3 linked regions of the Xenopus tropicalis genome follow. The protein of the gene in region 1 interacts with the protein of each later gene in a pairwise test. Links are inferred from orthologs where the notes say so. Each region holds a gene or a part of one and is shown in the gene's direction. Other genes may lie near its edges.

Region 1 (6,731 bases):
ACAAGTTCCTTTCTTGGAACACAATTATACAAACAAAGTTGCACAATATAAAACCACCAACCTCCCTCCAAACAGTAAGGTCATTTAGACATTTAACCCTAATGTTTTCCAAACCTTTTCTCTAACAAGCCACATTACCTTTATGTAACATTCCATATTGAACACCATATTTGGAACTAATATATTAAGATAAGAAATTATGGTGTTCCATAAAGATGCCAGCTCTGAAGAGAATATGTTGTTCTCTTCCATATAACCAATCACAAGGTTGGTATTTATTGGTGCAACAGGGCTCTCCATTCCGTTCTGTCTTTCAAAGCTAAAAAAGACAGCTTTTATGCCCAGTTCCCAAGGAATAACAAATAATGAGCCAATATGGATTGTAACCTACCACATCTCAGCATCTGAGACTGATATATTATCAGTGCTGAATTTACGCCCGGTGCCACCCTAGGCACCAGACCTAACTGTGCCCCTAGATTGTGGAAGATCACTTCCCAAATTTCCTTGGGAATATTGTGTGTCTTGTATATAGCTTGGTAAATTATAAACCAAGTCTTTAAGCTGAATATCTATAAACTGAGACAGCGGATAAGTAGCAAAATTAATGGCAGATACAGTGGATTTACCACACTTTTATGGATCTTTGGCAACCCATAAGGAACAGCTTCTTGTGGGTTCTCAACTAGTCCAACTGTAATATCAATTCGTTGGACAAGAATGCAGGTATTTACCAAAAAGCTAAAAAGAACGGCTCTTCGATATGAAAATAATATTTTTTAATATTGTGTCCTGGGGTAGGTGCCAGTGAGATGTATGAACTACAGTGTTACAATTTCAAGAAGTGTTGTGGGTAAAGATGGCTTAGAGACATTATGCTTTTAGTTCTTAATCCACTCTACCTCCAACCTGTTCATGTTCTTGTAAATGTATTATAGATGTGCCGACTCTGCCCAAGAGGTAAGTGGAGTAGCAACTGTATTAGCCAAGGGGATTAAGTGAATGGACTGTATAATAGCAGGTTCCTGTTTCTCTGTGAATTCCCCAGTGTGCCTGTAGTCCAACCTACTTTCTGGATCAAATCTGTATTTAACACAAGTGACGATTGCTCTCAGCCATTCTCGATATTTTCTGCTTTACAGTACCATTTAAAAAGGCTGGAAGGGCGTCGTTTAGATTATGACTATAAAAAGAGGCGCCAGGGGAAGATCCCGGATGAGGAAATCAGACAAGCAGTGGAGAAATTTGAAGAGTCCAAGGAACTAGCAGAAAGGAGCATGTTTAACTTCTTGGAAAATGATGTAAGTCTACTGTAGAGATTCTGCTAGCAAACAAATAATAGTGTAGGCGACACACTTTCACACAGTGTTATGTTCTATATGACATAAAAACACAATTGATATATATTTTATGATGATTATAACCTTGTCAGCTACAAGCACATTTTCCCAGTAATATGGAGTTGGTAAGTGTTGCATCTATGATAGGCTTTTATTCTTTTCCGTAAATCATTTCTCTCAAGTAATTATGGTGCCAGTGTATTATTCTCCCAGCACATAAATAACAGTGACACAACCTCAGGGGAGGTAGCAGATCTTATAGAGACAGCAGACCCAGTGGCCGCGAGCAGAGGGAGGGTACAGTAAGGGTTGTTGGCAGATCTACTATTTCAGTAGCTGCTTTAAAAATATTTTGGGGGGGATACAGGGGGTATTAAAATATTTTAGGAGTAGTATATTACATATTTATAAACAACAGCAATAAGGCTGGTGCCACATTGGTCTGTTACTCAGCCTGCATATAAGCACTGACGAGAAACAGCCCTTCCGTTTGCATCCGCTCTCTCCTGTGTCTACACTCAGAGGCAATGTTTCAGCCTGGCTGCAGGCACACAGAGCGTATTTCAGCATAAAAATGCATACTCACATGGTTCAGCACCTAAAAAAAAGGAGAGAATGCCAGGGGGCCATCTGAAAAGCAGACCAAGAATTAGCCTTGTGTGGCATTAGCCTAAAAGTATACAGAGTAATCCAGCTGTCTTCTAAGGACTGACTATTAAATACAGATAATTAAGTCAGAAAGAGATATTTACTGATCCCAGTTCATTGAATTATTATATGTTATTTGAGATCACACCCATCCAACCTGGGATTAAATCTCTGCATTTCAATAAATTACTTATCTTTCTAAAATACAGCGGTGCCCAAGCAGCTGCATCTTATTAAAGCTTTATTTGTACTGTGTAGCAGCAGTATAAGACTTGGTCATGTATCTTGCAGGGTCATCACTTCATTTTCCTTATTCTCCTATTTCCCAATTCAAATTCTTCTTTCAATTCCACTTGCATTATGAAATCACAAATAATGTAATGTATGAGCTGATTATGCCTTTCTGAGGGACAGGCTGATATAAAAAGCTGTGTATTGCAGATGATGCAAGAAAATTAATGGTGTTTATCAGGATGTTCCAGGAATATTTTGTGACATTTTACGCCATCTGGTGGGAATATGTAGAACTGCAGCTTAGATTCTCAATTACAGTGTTGTTTCATAAATGTATGAGGTATATGTATATCTCTTTATTTATATAACGTTACTGGTATATGCAGTGCTTAACCCACACATTAACTATAGTCATTTAGTTATAAAATTTCATCTTTTCAACAGGTCTGAACAGGAGAAAAAAGCTCAACAATAGTGTGATAAATAGGGACTGAAAAAAACTGACTATTATGATTATGTTATTGCCCAGTTTTGTGTGCTTAATTAATGCTATCTTGGTGACATTTGCAACCACTGTTCTTAAGTAAAAAGATTGATTTGCACTTACTATACTGCCATGTGGTACTTTCTTCAACTGATGAGAATGGAAGAATTAGTAAACCTTGATGCAAAGGAAATAAAGCCACATGAATAATAATAATGAGAAGCCCACCAGCATACTCTGGCCTCTCCAGTTTAACTGCTTTAGGGCTCAGTGTGGTACAGATCAGCACCCTGCTCGTTGTAACTAAATGAAAGGAAAAACCCAGCACAGCGAAGCAAGTGCAGTTGGGGAACACCTTTGTGAAAAAGCTGCCCCTATATTAGTCCTGACTGTGTAGGCAGCTTATGTGCCCATGTATAAGGACAAAACAAGATATATATATGATCAGGAGGAAAATGGTTGCTTTCCTCTCCCGACAGGTCTGCATGGAGCCCCTATTCCATCTGATTTACTGATTCATTGCTATGGGTTATTGCCCATGTGCCAATTTGCCCAATGTTTATAGATTAGCCCCAGTATGTCATGTATGGGATATATAACCTACCCCAAAATATCACAAATGCATCTTAGAGTGGCTTGTTTGAGGTTCATCTAATAACTGCTGTCTTCTTATTACAGATAGAACAAGTAAGCCAACTGTCTGTATTTGTAGAAGCTGCCTTAGACTATCACAGACAGTCTGCTCAGATTCTTGAGGACCTACACAACAGGTTACACAATAGGTGAGCCACTGGCAGGTAATGGTTTTAAGCAATGGTGGCGCCATCGAATATTGTGCACACTGAAAGAGAGGATTTAACCATATCAGATATTTTGTTACGAATTTACACTAAAATCCTTACTGGTTGCTGCGAGTCTCCCATTTTTAAATAGCCCAGAAAAGCTGGGCCAAGGTGCCTGAAAATGCCCTCCACTGACTTGCAGAGGCAATACTGGAAATGCACCCTACACTGTTCCAGATATCTGACAAGCACTGGCACACAACTGACACAATTTGGAGTAGGAATTTGCATTAGCTTCCAAGGCTACAGACCCTTCTCTATATAGGATTTGTCAGTTTCTATCAAAGAAATAATCATTTGATCCATATTTTATAGTATTTAAATGGGCAGTTCACTTTTGAGTTAACTTTTAGTATGTAATAAAATGGCCAGTTCTTAGCAATTTTTCTGTTGGTCTTTATTGTTTTTTAAATGTATTTCCTGATCTGTCTCTTTTCATCTTTGAAAAGGGTGTCACTGACCATGGCAGCAAAAAATATTGCTCTTTCAGGCTACTGTTTCATTATTATTGTTACTTTTTATTACTTATCTTTTTCTAGTCAGACCCACCCCTATTCATATTCCAGATTCTCAATCAAAAGCTGGTTGCTAGGGTAATTTGGACGATTGCAACCATATAGCTGCTGATTAAAAAGCTGAATAATTAAAAAAACACACTAATAAAACAAATAATACCAATTGCAAATTGTTTCACAATAGCACTCTCTAAATATACTGAAAGGTATTTTAAGGTAAACAGCCCCTTTAATCATAAACAAATAATGACAAATGAAAACTTTAACTCTTATTTCTCATTAGCTCATCTTAGCCTCATTAGCTCCTAACTGGGTCCTACATGAGCAGGCAATTGGGCAAGATTTGTGTTATCAGCATGGTGCCAAGGTGCATATGGGAAGCACGCTTCCCGTACAACCTCTTACTCTACCCAATCACCGAAATTTGCCACCTAGTGCACCTTAAGTAATGGCCATACTCTTAGGCTGATGTCACACCAGGCGTAGGGCTGATTTTTTCGGCAAGCGGATAAACGCTTGCCGAAAATTCAGCCCTACGCCTGCTACTTGTGCCTGCACCCGAATGAATGAGATACGCTCGGGTGCAGGCACATGTAGCTGATATACGCATTAAAACGCGAGACTTTGCATTCTCTCGCCCTTTTTTCGGCAAGCGGAAAAACGCTTGCCGAAAAAATCAGCCCTACGCCTGGTGTGGCATCAGCCTAATATTGTTACTACAAGCTCAGCCAGCACTGAATCAGGGGGAGAATGTGCTCCTTTGAGATGAAATCCTGTTGTTTGCATTCAGCTGCTGACAGCAGTGTTTTGTTCTGTTCCCAGAATGAATACAGCCTCCAGCCGACCAAAGAGGGAATTACAACATAAATCAATAATTGCAACCCTGGAGTCAAATGAAAAGCTACATCACAATGGGATTCCCAGCAACTCATCAATCAAGCCATCAGGTAAAGGTGTAACCAGCTTGCAACTATTTACCAATAATTTAGAGCAATGTCGTTTTTGGAATGAGTGGGAAAAAAAAACTTTTTTGGGACACCCAGCTTTATAGGCAGTGGAAGAAATTGCGTTTAGCTAGGCTAGTTCCTCGGGTTCTTCAGGGTCTTGGCTTCTCCAACAGAAAACAAAGTGCAGTTTCCCTCGATCCATATTGTTTACCCACTGCAATGTTTTGAAAAATTTATCTATAAACCAGGTTGGAAATCACGAGCGATGCAACTGAACCGAGTAGAATCAGAAGACACTTCTGGCATATGTAATTTAAGCTTTTGCCATTTTGTACTTGCAAAACAGCAGGGGGCCTTGTAATACATATTTATGATATTAGCATTGTCAAATGCGCTGATATCATGAATACAAAAAGAAACAAATTAATAATGTAGAAGTGCTCAGAAGAGCACTTTGAGCAATTTTACAGGGGACATGATTACTCTGTACAAGTACATTAGAGGGGATTATAGGCAGATGGGGGATGTTCTTTTTTCCAGTAAAAATGATCAACGCACCAGAGGTCACCCCTTTAGATTAGAAGCAGCGTAGGGGGTTTTTCACGGTTAGGGCAGTGAGGTTGGGGAATGCCCTTCCTAGTGATGTGGTAATGGCAGATTCTGTTAATGCCTTTAAGAGGGGCCTGCCTTGAAGAAGCAGAATATCCAAGGCTACAGTGATACTAATATCTACAGTTAGTATTAGTGGTTGTATATATAGTTTATGTATGTGAGTGTATAGATTGGTAAGTATAGGCTGTGTGTGCTGGGTTTACTTGGATGGGTTGAACTTGATGGACTCTTTTTTCAACCCTATGTAACTAACTATACATGTTGTAGGGAGCTTATGTCCTCTTTAAATGGTGAATGGACAGCTTGCTATTCACTTGTATGGGAGTTTCACATTTTTTCTCTGGCAACCAGTGGCAAATTGAAATTTCAGAATATAACTATACACCTTAGTGTTATTTGATAAAAAAATAAATAAAAGAGCCAATTTTTTGGTTTGGTCTACATATACACTTCCTGTAGCGCCTTCACTGCTGCCGAAAGTAATAGGCTTCAGCTAATCGATGCCTGTTTGCTTCCTGTACATTTTATAGGTTCCTCTGGAAACTTGGACCAGCCTTGCTGCAGAGCACTGTATGACTTTGAGCCAGAAAATGAAGGAGAACTTGGATTTAAGGAAGGAGACATCATTACTTTAACCAATCAAATTGATGAGAACTGGTTTGAAGGTATGGTCAACGGTGAATCAGGATTTTTCCCTATTAACTACGTTGAAGTGGTGGTTCCGCTTCCATAGTGAACCATGGACTGAGAGACAATTTCATCCTGTAAAAAACGAAACAAAAGGACTTGCAAACATTTTGAATGTGGCATTCTGTGAACGCCTTGCTACTGGAGTGACTTCAGATCTTTAGTATGTGTCATCTCTTTTATATGTATTTATTTTGTATTAATTTTATTTTTATGAATACATTGACATCAAAATACAAATCTATTTTTGTTCGTACTGTTCTATGGAGACCTCCTGCTTACCTTGTTTGAGAAGTAATACGATCCTGTGTGTATCAGTTCCTTACTGAAAGTCAAGGTTTTATACTCCTCTCAAAGTATTAGACTGCCCAGGGTGAAAGGAAGGCTACTCTCATGGCTAGCACAAAATACAAAAGATCAGT
Region 2 (6,731 bases), on another chromosome or scaffold:
GCAAATTGCCGAAGTTGCCTCGCAAGGCTTTTTCGGCGATTTGCCGGAATCGCAATGCCGCGTGTGCCATCCCACCGGCGACTTACATTTTCGCGGGTGGGATGCCAGGTGATGGCAACTCGGGGAGATTAGTCACCCGCAAACAGGGAATTTTGTCGCGGGCGACTAATCTCCCCGTGTGCCAGAGCCCTTACATTGCAGATAAGATAAGCTGTAGATATGTGTATTTATGCTGAAAATGCATATCCTTACTGTCCCTTATTAATTCACTTTTACAGTGCCTGGGAAAACTGCCTTGTAAATAGCCTGTGCTGGTACTGTACTTATATTTTACTAACTGCTGGTACTTTATCTTCACAGGCAAGTGAGAAAGTCTACTCTGAATCCAAACGCGAAGGAGTTCAATCCCAGATCATATGCTCAAGTAATTATTTCTCTAAATTTCAATATGGAATGTAGAATTCATAAAGTATACGCGAAGTAAAGTTTGCCAAGTTCCTGTTTAATGCTGAGGATAATTTAGTCTTTGGCTCACCGTGACAGCAGACCAAAAAAAAAAGATTATGGGTAGTGTTTGCAACTGGTCCTTTTTGGTTTTTTTTATTGTAGCATTTTAATTTTTGCTTAAAGTTTTTAGCTTTTTGTTCAGCAGCCTTTCAGCTTGGAACTAATTAGCTTTATAGGGTTGCTTCAGTCTCTCATTCAAATCAGTCTCTGGCTGCTAAATAGGAGAGGGTCTGAGGTCTGACACCTTTCCCTCATTGGTCCTGGCTATTTAGCTTACTTCAGTTTCCAGCAAGCTACCGCTTGATAGAGAACCAAAGAAGGCAAGATTCCCAGGCCCAGAGCCCTTACAACACACCATACCCTTAATGTTGCTAGGTATTTAGCGGTCTTGTTGCCTACTTTATGGTCCTAGTGCTAACTGTCTGGAAAGTGATCAGGGGTGTGTTTGTAAGGAGGGGCTAGCAGGTAGGGTTGAGTCTGGTGTGAATGGCATATTCACTTTCAGTTATTCAGTTTAGCCACACTTATTTTGTTTGCTGATAAGCAGTATGCCTAAGGCCCTGGTCACACGGAGCACTGGCTCGCTTCTCTCAGCATGAATTTTGTTGGAGAGTGAAGTGCATCTGCTATCTTCCGCAGCTTTGGATAGCTTCACTGACCGACACGGCTTCGGACTGAGTGCAACTATACACAGTGGAGATTGGACCCAAAATCCCTACTTTCGTGTTTTTTGGGCCGATCTCGACTCCATGTAGGTTCATTTAGGCCGAAGCTATGTCTGTTGGCATAGTCAAACTGAGCTGTAGAAGAGAACAGATCCACTTTTCTGAGAGAAGTAGAGCCAACACTTTGTTTTGCACAGAAGGCTTAGGCCCTGATCACCCAACCTAAACCAAAATATTTTACATTTATTTAATATAATGTAAACCATTGCATTATTTTTACTGACCAGGCTGGTAAAATACTGGTCGTGTAGCAACCACACATAAGATGAATTTTGTGGTATGTTTCCTAAGATGTTTCCATTGTAATTGCAGATAAGTTACACAGAAAAATGAGTGCATGTAAAATCTTTTGTTTTGCTGTAGCCCAAGCCTTCAACAACACCAACCTCACCTCGTCCCCAAACTCAGCCAAGTCCATCAGTGGTTGGACATCAGCAGCCAACGCCTGTGTATACCCAGCCAGTATGTTTTGCACCGAATATGATGTATCCAGTTCCTGTGAGCCCTGGAGTTCAGGTAATCATTCACCTGATCTAATTGGTCATTTTGGATGTCAAAAAATAAATATTGACATTTCTTTTGCACCCATTTGTAGAACACACAAAGTGGGAACTCATTCTGACAAGGATGTAAATTGCTAAGCAGTAATTGATTGTTAGCAGTTACCCAGCCATAGTTTATTCTTAAATGAGCATACATTGAAAAACAACAGTGTTGGAATTAGAAACCAGGAACTGCAATTCCCAGCATTTGTGATTGGCAGTTAAGGGTTATGAATGGTTGTGTAGTTGCTGGAATGATGCCAAGTATATTAATGACTTGTCACATGACATGAATAGGGGTGGGCTCTCTTTGAAACTAGCTGGGAACACCAATACACTTGCCCCATTTGTTTTTAGAAGGGTTTATTTCATTTGCTTTCCATCATAAAGATACTGTATGATTTCTGCTTTATTGGGTTAATCAAGTTCCACCCTGCACAAGAAACCATAGGTCAGTGCTGTCACAGAATGGGCGAATGGGAAGCAAAATTTACAGCTACTAACATCACTTGGGGTCACTACCTATTTTTAGGGCTGCATGAAGAGTTCTGTCATAGTAAGCTCATTTGTAAGAGTGGCTATGACTAAAGCTGGATTTATGTTTTTCTACAACTTTTGGCAGGACCAATTAGTAATTATATATATATATATATATCTATTATTTCAGCCATTATACTCCATTCCAATGACTACAATGCCAGTGAACCAGGCCAAGACTTACAGAGCAGGTAAAGGTGAGACAGTGACATCTGAATTGCGTGCATGCTGCATGATTTTTTGGGAAGAATATTTTAGATGTGTGTGCATTGTATACATGTCTAGTAGGTTTTTTTTTTTTTTTTCTACATTGAAAGCAAATGTCTTCCAATGCGTGTTTTGTAAACAAAGTATTGCCCTCATTTTTTTGAAACAGCCTTCTTAGCCATTTAATGAAAGTTAATTACACTAAAGAGCTTACTGTCATATATAAAGAATCTGCTCTTGTAAGTACATTCCCATCACTGTTCACTGCTTGGATGAACACAATTTAGGGTCTGCTCGTTACGGTTTCCTTCTTGCTGCCACAAGTACAGAACTGCCCAACTAGAAACCGCTCCACATAGTACCATTTACAATTCAAGACTGAGCCTTTTATTAACAATAAAGTTGACTGATTAAAAACTGGGCACCTGTAAAATAGGCTCATATGTCATGGATGCTTTGCAGTTCTGATTAATACTAGAGATGGCTTCTATTAAGCATGCATCTGAAAATAATTGTTAGGCTGTGCAACATGTGGTGTTTATAAGTGTCCATGTTTAAAGGAACACTTCAGTGTAAAAATTAAACTGGTTAAAATGGATAGACTGCAAAATGAAAAAAATATTTCCAATATTTCAAAGATGTAATTTATAAAGACTGAAGTGAGTGGATGTCTAATGTAATAGCCGGAACATCCTGCTTTCAGGTCTCTAACCTCTTAGTCAGTGACTTAAAGGGGGGCCACATGGGACATAACTGTTCAGTTAGTTTGTGAGCACACAGGTCAGATTCAAATGCAAACTAACTGAACAGTTATGTCCCATGTGTTAAAGTAAAATCAGTCTACATAATTTCATAAAGCTTTATTTTTTTGTCCACAGTGTGTTTTGTGTGTTATCTAAAGTTTCATTGAATGCAATAGATTGGGTGGGGTTTTGTTAAAAGAACAGATAAAAGATGGCTGAGCACAGCAGAACTGATAGCAACATGTTACAGTGAAACTAGGCCTGCATGCATGTAAATTATACATGTTATGTTACCAGGAATACATGTTATGTTACCAGGAATACTTATGGTAATTCAGTGTGTTTCACTCTGAAAATTTTTTTAGTGTCACATCAGAATATTAAGTGTAGATTGATAATATTTAATGAAAACGTTGGGCAGCCGCAGGAGTCAGTCCCTATGCTCTAAACAGCCTTTCCCTGTCCCTGCACTCAGCCATTGTGTCAACTCCAAAAATCCACTGTGAATGCCTGCACCCGGGCAGACAAAGAGGCTTTGGGTGCTGGAACATGGAAAGGCTAATTAAGACTATACGGATCCACCTGTGTGGCTGTAGTGTAATGAGGGATCACTGTATATCAATACACATTAGAGCAGTGGTTCTCAACCTGTGGGTCAGGACCCCTTTGGGGGTCGAAGAACCCTTTCACAGGGATCACCTAAGACCATCAGAAAACACATATTTTCGATGGGTTTAGAAATAATTTTATGGTTGGGGGTCACCACAACATGATGAACTGTATTAAAGGGTCACAGCATTAGGAAGGTTGAGAACCACAGCATTCGAGGTTGCTAATCAAAGTATTTTTCTTGTTTAGTACCCAATATGCCCCAGCAACGGCAAGATCAGCACCACCAGAATACAATGATGCATCCAGTATCTGCAGCAGGACCACCAATAGTTGCTACCCCACCTGCCTATTCTGCCCAGTATGTGGCTTACAGCCCTCAACAGTTTCCTAATCAACCACTTATGCAGCATGTACAGCACTATCAGTCACAGGTAACCTTCAGCTTTATTTCTTTTTTTTTTTTTTTTTCTTTTGAATGTTACTACAGTATACTTGAATATATTTTTATATATAAAATATTACATACCTTGTTTTTATTTTAATCCATGTTTCTTTATCAAAATTGGTCACACTGATATCACAGTCATGAGTATTGTCATGAGTCTTCGCATTACAACTAACCAAATTAACTAATTAATGCTCTTAGTTCTCAGGTTTTTGCGGATATGGTGGTAATAATGTGGTTATGTTTTAGAATGGACCACCTTTAGTGGAAAGCTAGTGTATGATTTCATGAATTAAAATGCATCATGCAGCGATTACGAACACGGCATTGCCTGTGTGTGTGTGCGTAAACAAGCTGTGACACTCCACTCACAAGTGTGAAGCATGCAAGAACTTGGCATGTATGTACATAATATTGCGTAATGCTGCACATTACAAGACCCACTCATCCATTGCGCAGCTTGAAAAAGGATAACTTTGCACATACTGCAGTGTACCTGTTCCTTCTTAGAGCACCAGCCATACCTGGCTCTCCTAAACAGGTACATTGTGTGGTGGGGTCACTGAAGCTTGCATTGTGCAGTGACGCTCTGGCTTGCCATGTTCCATTGCATTATATTATTGGTATGATGTGCAGTTCTTTGTATAGCCTTTGTTATTCGGCATCTGTCCAATGTCAGAAGAACTAGGAATCCCAGCCATTTGAAAAGCACAAAATGTTTTCTTTTTAAGTCTCTCCTATTAAATTTTGCAGGTCTAAATTAAATTGGCCCAGTCACTTCTTTTACTTTTTTTTTGCAACTTTTAAAAAAAATAATTTTAAAATGTTTCTTTTTTCCAATTTATTTTATTTATTTAAAATATATCTTTCCACTATTTTGTGTATTTCAGCACCCACATGTATATAGTCCTGTGATACAGGGGAACACAAGAATGATGGCACCACCATCTCATGCACAGGCTGGCCTTGTATCCTCCTCCGCTGCACAGTATGCCACTCCTGAACAAACTCATACCATGTATGGTAAGTACCCAAATATGCAAACTAATCTGCTGTAAACTGTTTATTGCAAAATGTGTTTTTTCTGTTGATCTGTCAATTGTTGAAATTTGAAGCAAACTTGAAAATTATTTGGCCCAGTTAGTATTTTAAGAAGGTTGGACACACTTGAGTTAGGCAGTATTTACTAAAACTATGGTGTTAAATGCATGCCAGTATTTATTCTTTGTTGGGTAGATTAGTGAGTTCAAGCCAACCTGAAGATTAAAAAAAAAAATGCACTGCCTTTTGGTTTAAAATAAGGAATGGATTGTAACTGGAATGCAACTGCACCAGTAGCAAACTGTAGGTATGGGCTCTGTTGTCTGGAATGTTAGGGACCTAGAGTGTTCTGGATGGGGGATTGTTCAGTGATTTTGACCACTACAACTTAAGTCTGCTAAAAATCCTTTAAACATGAAGTAAACCTAGTAGGATTATTTTGTCACTAATATGGATTCATGCAGCCGAGTTACCATTAAGTACAAGCTACTGATTTATTATTTGCTTAATATTGAGTCTATGGGAGATGTCCTTCCTGTAACCTGCAGTTTTCTCAATAACCGTTTTTTTCAGATAAGGCATGTCATCCCTATACCTTTACACTGTTATAAATATGCAACCATGGTCTGGTCACAGTGCATCCCTTGATAAATATTACTCTAACATTAAGTGCTGTTTTTATTGGGGGATAAATATATTAATGGGTACAGAGTGTTACACCTCCATTGTTCGTTTAACATGCATGGTAACATCCGTAGACCTTTTTGTCTTTAGAAAATGGTACAGTTTTCAATTTTTTTTTTTTTTTTTTTTTTTTATACTTTTAGTTTCAACTAGCTCATTAGCACAGCAGTATGCTCACCCAAATGCAGCCCTGCACCCACACCCACCTCATCCTCAGCCTTCAGCAACTCCTACCGGCCAACAGCAAAGTCAACATGGGGGAAGTCACCCAGCTCCAAGTCCAGTTCAGGTGAGCTAATGGAGTTGTTTGAACGTGCATCTCTTGAACTTTGTGTGTGTTTCTGATACTGTATGTTGTGGTCTTAGTCGATGGTGAAGGAGAGGATGCTCGTAAGTTTACTTCCTTTCCAGTAAATTGTTAGATTTTCTATATTTTCCATATTTAACAAGCCACCCCCAGTTTCCCTATGTCCTATTGCTGGGTATGGTATAAATTTTGAATCTTAACTGGCCATTTTAATAGATTTCATGTCTTACTGTGCCTCTTTGCCTTTGGATGAATACATCATCCAGTCACTGCCCCAGTGGAGCCTACAGTCTAAGGTCTCTATCACATTCACTATGGTCAGTTTAGAAGGAACCAGTTGATCTGCCTGTATGTTTGAGTGTGGGAGGAAACCTACACATA
Region 3 (7,187 bases), on another chromosome or scaffold:
ATTTCCGCTAGTTTCTTCCACCTGCTTTGTCAGATCCAGCATCTTACTGGACAGAGGGAAAGAGGTTGTTCGAACTTCTGCTCGTTTCCCCATGAGGTCTTCAAATTTTCCTTCCAGCTGCCTCTGTGTTTTTAGAATCTTTCCAATTTCATTTCCAACTATCTAAAATTACACACAAGACATTAGAAAGCCGACTAATTATAAAGAAAGGCAAAAACAGTCACTACAAATATTCCAGACCGAACGACGCTGCTTTAATATAAATGTTTGCTCAGAAAATATTTGTTCCCAGAGCATCTTGTATTGCACTAGATCAGGGATCCCCAACCTTTTTCCACCCATGAGCCACATGCAAAAATCAAAAGTTGGAGAGCAACACAAGCACGCAAAAAGGTCCAGGGGGTGTCTATTTTGGGCTGTCATTGGCTACTGGTAGCTCCTATGTGGTCTGGCAGCCTACAATGCTTCCAAAACTTTCCTCCAAGCCAAGAATTTAAAAATAAGCACCTGCTTTGATGCCACTGGGAGCAACATCCAACAGGTTGGTGAAAAACATGTGGCTTACGAGCCACTGGTTGGGGATCCCTGCACTAGATAATATATGCTAACTTTATAACCAGGTTACATTTGCAGGACTTTTTAGGATATTCAACATCAAAAGTTAGATTCCACAAAATACCCAATCACAGCCAAATGTTTATGGTCACTAACATCACTGCGGCCATGGTAAGATACAGGCATGATGTTTCCCAGAACGGAGAGTTGATCTAGGCTGTCCTCCAGTACAGTGCACGCCCGAAGTGCATCCAGCATAGACAATGTCATCTTTCAAGGAGTTTTACTTGACCTGCAAGGTATGAATGTGTCAGAATGCAAAGCCTTTAGTTTGCTGCAAATTGGATAAAACACTTTTTAAAAGGTGCCTACCAAACAATGCAAGATAAGCAAACACTAAGCCCCAAAAAGTTCTGCAAGCATGGATCTTTAGCAAATAAATCAAATATATTTACAAAATCATGTGCAAAGTTCAGTGTTTTGGTCACTACAGTGTAACCTTTCTTAAGGATTTCTGTATCCACACACAAACAGTGAAAATCTACCTTCCCCACCCTAATAAGCCCAAAAAGGCACCAAAAAGCTTGTAATAATTAGAATGTGCTAAGGTAAAAAAAATTATAATGCTATTATCAACCATGGGGCATAGTAAACAGCAAAAGCACAAAGGAGATTGACAAAGAGGCAATTCCTCTTTAATAGCGCTCTGTTGCCATAGCAACCTGTATGTGCAGAGCCCATACTACATTTCCCAGAAGTCTCCATGAGCCCAAATTTGTTTTAGGTGCTCATGCTTGCATTTAATGACTATTGATAAAGTTAACCTCGCACTATAGTTTAACACCTGGGTGCACTTGTATGTATACAATTAGTATAGTTCGCGAAGAGCATGTGCCCTGATTATATGTGTGTCTATGTTCTTCGCAAACTATGCATTTAATGACTAGTGTGCTGCCCAAACCACTGCTAACAACTCATATGCACAGAGACAAATTTGAAGATTTGAAATACCATTATAACAGGTATGGATGTTTTCATTAAAAAAATTTGGGTTTCATGTTAAATTTAAAAATTACTTTGACTTTATGTCTGGGTGGCAGGTCCCCTTTGAGCCAATAAGGAAACTCCAAACACAGTACTAACAATAGCATTTCCAGATTAAGAACTGACCAGGGAAACCTAGAACATTCCATTGCACCATCCTACTGAATGCAATTTCATAAGGAAGTATATAAGATGGATCAATTCAGATGTTTTCAAAGACACAAATGTGTTTATAACGGACAACTGGGTGACTTTTTCTTGCCCAAATGTGAATGCAAATGGGTTGGTGTATGGATTGGAAGGGCAGCTGAGAGTGGACACTGGTAGTATTGGAAGAGGGGCATCCCTACATAACAAACTGCTTACTTTTCTTGTAATACAACTAAAGGATAATGCAATTAGAATTTTATGTTTTATCCATTAAAGTATTATATCCAGCCAAATAAAAAGCATTTACTATAGAACAGGGAGCCTGTATCTTAGCCAGTGTATGTTTCTTAAGTCCCTGTATTACTACTACTCAGGTATGGTAACGTCTACCAAACACACACTGCATCCCTTTTTACCCCAACTATGTAGCTATATGCACATTCACGTACAATGTAAAATATATAATGCCAATACAGATTTTGCGAAAACTGATTTGCAAGTTACCTGTGCGTCAGAACACCCAATGTTTACATACAGTTGCCATGGGGATCGTACCCTGCCCGAGAGTCCTTGCGTCCTATTCGTCTTCGTACCGCCGGTTATATATCATTTTTAACATTTATTGCATTTATCTCACGATTTTAGATTTAAAATCAATTCTCTTAGAGATCATAGTTCATTGCCCTGAAATTGGGTTTAATTTATTTTTTTTTTTTACCCTTTTACATTAGGCAGTCACATGGACACCTCACGCATGCTACGTTCATAATTTCCCGTCATGCAAAGCGCTCCCCCTTCCTTTTCCTCCATCTTGGTTACCAGTGCGGGTGAGCTTAGTGTATAGTCAAATATTAATACTGAAAAATGGACAGTTAAATGGGTCGTATGAGAGAAATACCGACATGAACGGGGACGTCTACTTGAGCGTTATTTGCCGGGCCTGGCTTTGAGCCTGTGGGAGACGGGATGTTTGGGATACGGAGAGGATTGCATTGGAGCTAGGCTGATAGGATTTTCCCATTGCCGGCTTATTTTCGCAGCTGTACAACTGCAGCAAACTTGTTTTCGAGTTGTTCTTTTGGCGACAGTTGTGCCAGACACCTAAGGAAGTTTCCCTTCGCTGAGAGGCCGAGTTTTGTGTAGTAGTTGTCCCTTAATACAAACGGGGAATAAGCTTGGCTAATTGAAGTGCTGGGCAGCTTGGCTTGTACTTGTCTATAGGTTTTCTGCCGCCACCTATTCGTATAGTTCTATTATAGAAGTCAGCTGCTGCTGGAAAGCCAATTTAGGATCGTAAGTCCTGCCTTTGTAAGCGGGTAATTGTGGGGTCACTCGGGTGTGTGCCTGCTGGAGATGTGCTTCCTGATCATGCTTTTTGCTATTGCAAAGTCACACATGTTAAGGGAAAATGTTTGTTTCATATGACATATTTGGAAAGATGTTTTTATTGTTCATTTAAGAGAGGTGTCATAAAGATAATATTGATCTTGTCCTAGATTTTCTTTAAAAGGACAAGTAGTCTTATTTACTAGGGGAAGCAATATGTTGGCCGTGGGCATCTTTCTAACTGTCACACCACCATCTATCTGTATTTACCTGGATCCCTTGCACAGGCACAGTATAGGTACTTTTTACTGCATTGTGCACAGGTAAGACTATAGGTATAAGGGCTCCTGGGAAATGCAGGTAAGATTGTGGCGTGCCTCTTGGAGAAAAAGATCCACCTCTTTCTCTTTAAATGTTAACCCAGAATAAGGTCTCCAATACTTGGAGTGAATCATTAATACTCTTAATGACATAGTGTTACATGTGATTGCAAATGAAACTGTCTGCATAACTGTGTATGCATAACTGTGTATGCATCACCAAATGTTTTTAGATAGTGTTATGGTATTTGTGAGGTTCCATTTGCCACTGTTTGTATCTATTTCCTGTGACATTTCTCAGGGAAAGTAATTAAATCAAACGCAATATAATTAAAGCACATAAAGCTTGCAGTTTAACAAAAATATTTCTACGTCTTTTTTTTTTTTTTTTTTTTTTTTTTTACAGTCCTGCCTGCATCTGGACATTAGGAGAGCAACATGTCTGGAAGGTATGAGCAATATTTCTAATTCTGTATCATAGTAGTAAAGCAATTATTTACATGTCACTTATTTAGGCTGCTTTACTTCTGCGATTCAGCTAATCTTAGTTGTTATTGTGACATGAAAGTGACAAGCCTACCTTTTGGTTCTACTTTTTATTTTCTTCAAATTCTTTCAGCATGTGACACTTGCTTAGGCACAGCATAAGGTTTAATAATGTCTAAATTCCTATGTTATTTCACCTGTTTAGTTTTATAACCCAAGTAGAGCACCAATGTGGGTTTGCCAGATTTTATATAAATGTCGTACAAAAATATTGGAGCCCCAGATCAGACTGGGGGCCATAAATTTGGTTTGTAGTTCGATACTGATATTTTTTCATACCATTTGTGATTTAAAGGAGATATGAAGTAAAACTGTAGTGTGCGCTTTTGACAACCCTTGCAATTTAATTTTGAAGTGAAAATATATTTACACTTACAGTATATATCTGTTAATAAAGCGCCTAGAACTATAAATTAGTCAAAACTCTTTGAGGTTTTCAATTTAATTTTTTTAACCCTGTTTAACTTTCGCTGTAAGAATTAAAACCTTGGTATTCTGCAGAGTGTATTTAAATGTGCCTTTTTTAAATAAAATTGCTTAGAAGACCACTTAGAAATTGTATTTAAAAGCATTTCTTCCTATTGAAAAGGGAGGGATGATATAGAAGAGTTCCCATGTGTTTAATAACATTTTTGAAATTTAATTTTAGATTGTGGAGCAAAGCCACTTTTGCTGGCTACAAGCGAGGCCTTCGAAATCAGAGGGAGCACACAGCTCTTCTTAAAATTGAAGGAGTCTATGCTCGAGATGAAACAGAATTTTACTTGGGAAAAAGATGTGCCTATGTGTACAAAGCAAAAAAGTAAGTCGCTTTTACATTTGGGAACCAAGCACTTGGAATATGCACTGTTCTTCTGTTAGGTTAATGCCACACCATACATATGGTGTATATTTTCGACAAGCTGAAAACCACTTGCCGAAAATATGCGCCATGCGCTCCTACATGTGCCTGCACCTGAATTAATGGAATACGCTCAGGTGCAGGCACATAAAGCCGAAATATGCATAAAAACGTGAGAGAATGCAAAGCTAATTGAACAGCCCGTGTGTGTTTGTGGTGGGGGATGGGTTCCCAAGAATGGAAGTATTTTGATTACCAGTTCAGTTCACTTTTATATTTTTATGTAAGAATATGTAGACTGATATTTTTATGAACTGGCTTACTGTTCTTCCTCAAGACTGAAATCTAAAATAGAAAAACACGAAAAAACCCTAATGCATGTATAGGTTACGGATGATAGTTCTTTGCTGATTTATACGTAGACCTTCTGTCAGACTTTTAAAGCAAAATTAGTTTTGTCATGTTGAATTATATATTTTGACGAAAGATTTCACTTTCCTTTGGATATTTGAGTAACATTTTGCCATGCAAGCAGTGTATAAATTCCTCTCATACTTTGTATTGCTTTTTGCAGGATAACTTAAACTGAGATTTTTACTGAAAATTTATAGAAAGCTTGTTTCTTATAGTGTACTTTTGCACCTGTACAAAAATATTTTAGCTCATTGGGTAATGGCAACTAAAAAAGGCAGTTAAAGGGTGGGACAGGTTCAATCACTGGAGGGTGGCAATATGTTTCTACTTGCATGTTTAATAAAATGAGACAAACCTGTTTCTGTTAAATGTACTGCTGCTGGAGTTTTAAAATTGCAAGATGTAATGTTTACAAACTTTTTTTTTTTTTTTTATAGTAATACAGTGACACCTGGTGGAAAGCCCAACAGAACTCGTGTGATCTGGGGTAAGGTGACCCGAGCTCATGGAAACAGTGGCATGGTCCGTGCCAAGTTCCGCTCTAACCTCCCAGCTAAAGCCATTGGACACAGGATCCGTGTGGTAAGTGATTGCATCTGTTGGTGGAAAGTGAAAAGACCTCTGTATATGAATACATAATGTAAAGATATGGTACCACTGCTGTCATGGCCCTTGGTGCAAAACTTAGCTTGTGTTTGAAAAGAAGAACCCAATAACTGAAAGCCAAGTTTTGAGAGTTGACATCCCACCACCATTTCCACCTGAGGACAATTTTTTTTTCCATTCTGGGTCCTTTGTGTCATTGTACTAATGCCTAAGGGGACACAAAGTTGCAAAAAAAGTTTTTTCCTTGTATAACTGTATATGTGTTAAAGCCATTTGTTTGCTGTCTCTGATTTAGCCATGCCATTTTTTTTCAGACATTGATCAAACTAAGACCAAGAAATGTAAACTCTAACTCTGGCCCCATGGTACTTTTATGCCTGTATTGTAGTCTTTTGCTGGCATGTAAAATGTTAAATCGCTTTTGTGTATACAAAATCCTAGGGTTGAGGGATTATTTTTGCACATTGCAAAATGACTTAAGATTTACTGTGCTTTTTCAATTAATGTTTCTGACCTCTCTCTCTTTTTTCTTTTCAGATGCTTTACCCATCAAGGATCTAAATGTTAAGAAAAAATAAAAAGAAACATTCTAGATCTTTTCTATTTTTTGTGTTGTTTTTGAGACTTCTCTAAACACTCAGAGGAAACCCCCCACCCTCTCCCAAGGCAAGCAAAAGCATTCTGAAATGTGCTTACCTATCCATGTGATCCTATCTATTCCGCTGTGGTTTTTCTCCAACATATGTGCACACACTCTGATTTTGGGTTATTGCAGAACTCTTGTATATTGCTGGAAAAGCAACCTTTTGTTGGGGTTTTGTGTTTGTCGCACCTTTCCTTTATTGGTAAAGATAATATCAACAAATGTATGGCAAAACAAGGCTCTGGATTTTTGGATGAGTAAAGACAAATTAGAGGGGTGCCAATATGCAAAAATTGCTGTAAAATGTTGCCCTCTTACCTTCTTCCTGTGGTTCTTTTGAACAACTTGGACTTAAATGTTCATTTGTGTAAAATCTGCAAGTCTAAAGCTGGCCATACATCTAAAGATCTGCCTAATTAGTGAGTTTGTGGGCATTATCGGCATATCCCATTCTTTGGCCTTAGGGCCAAACAATTGGATCAAGATGCTTGGGGATACACGCCGTCAGGGAGAGCATCAAGAGACATCAAGTCGATGTTGTCCTTGCCCTGATTTTTAAACCTTTAAGCCCTTATTGGTCAGGCAGGTCCATCAAAGGGCTCCATACATGGGCAGGTAAGCTGCAGATTTTATTTGAAGGGGCCAAATCGGCTAAAAACTGCCCCTGTATGGCCACCTCACGCTGACACTAAACCGCGTGATTAGTCACAGCGACTTATACAGTACCCTATGGCGGGAAAAA

Evidence for each region.
Region 2: the proteins of sh3gl3 (region 1) and atxn2 interact in binary tests that used the Homo sapiens proteins (3 or more experiments, as listed by UniProt). The link is inferred for Xenopus tropicalis from reciprocal best matches to the Homo sapiens genes SH3GL3 and ATXN2.
Region 3: the proteins of sh3gl3 (region 1) and rpl35a interact in a two-hybrid assay, tested with the Homo sapiens proteins (2 studies listed by BioGRID and IntAct). The link is inferred for Xenopus tropicalis from reciprocal best matches to the Homo sapiens genes SH3GL3 and RPL35A.

Annotation. Positions count from the first base shown.
Region 1 is NC_030679.2:105,641,646-105,648,376, forward strand, and holds part of sh3gl3 (endophilin-A3), read left to right. Parts: intron 1-1,142; coding exon 1,143-1,301; intron 1,302-3,384; coding exon 3,385-3,488; intron 3,489-4,885; coding exon 4,886-5,010; intron 5,011-6,152; coding exon 6,153-6,355; 3' UTR 6,356-6,731. UniProt on the Homo sapiens protein: Implicated in endocytosis. May recruit other proteins to membranes with high curvature.
Region 2 is NC_030677.2:163,140,632-163,147,362, forward strand, and holds part of atxn2 (ataxin-2), read left to right. Parts: intron 1-360; coding exon 361-424; intron 425-1,595; coding exon 1,596-1,748; intron 1,749-2,441; coding exon 2,442-2,508; intron 2,509-4,119; coding exon 4,120-4,304; intron 4,305-5,208; coding exon 5,209-5,341; intron 5,342-6,186; coding exon 6,187-6,332; intron 6,333-6,731. UniProt on the Homo sapiens protein: Involved in EGFR trafficking, acting as negative regulator of endocytic EGFR internalization at the plasma membrane.
Region 3 is NC_030681.2:100,506,138-100,513,324, forward strand, and holds rpl35a (60S ribosomal protein L35a), read left to right. Parts: upstream 1-2,547; 5' UTR 2,548-2,576; exon of another isoform or gene 2,577-3,065; intron 3,066-3,801; 5' UTR 3,802-3,833; coding exon 3,834-3,844; intron 3,845-4,590; coding exon 4,591-4,743; intron 4,744-5,633; coding exon 5,634-5,778; intron 5,779-6,339; coding exon 6,340-6,363; 3' UTR 6,364-6,402; downstream 6,403-7,187. Other genes in the region: iqcg (dynein regulatory complex protein 9), read right to left, coding at 1-162, 712-825.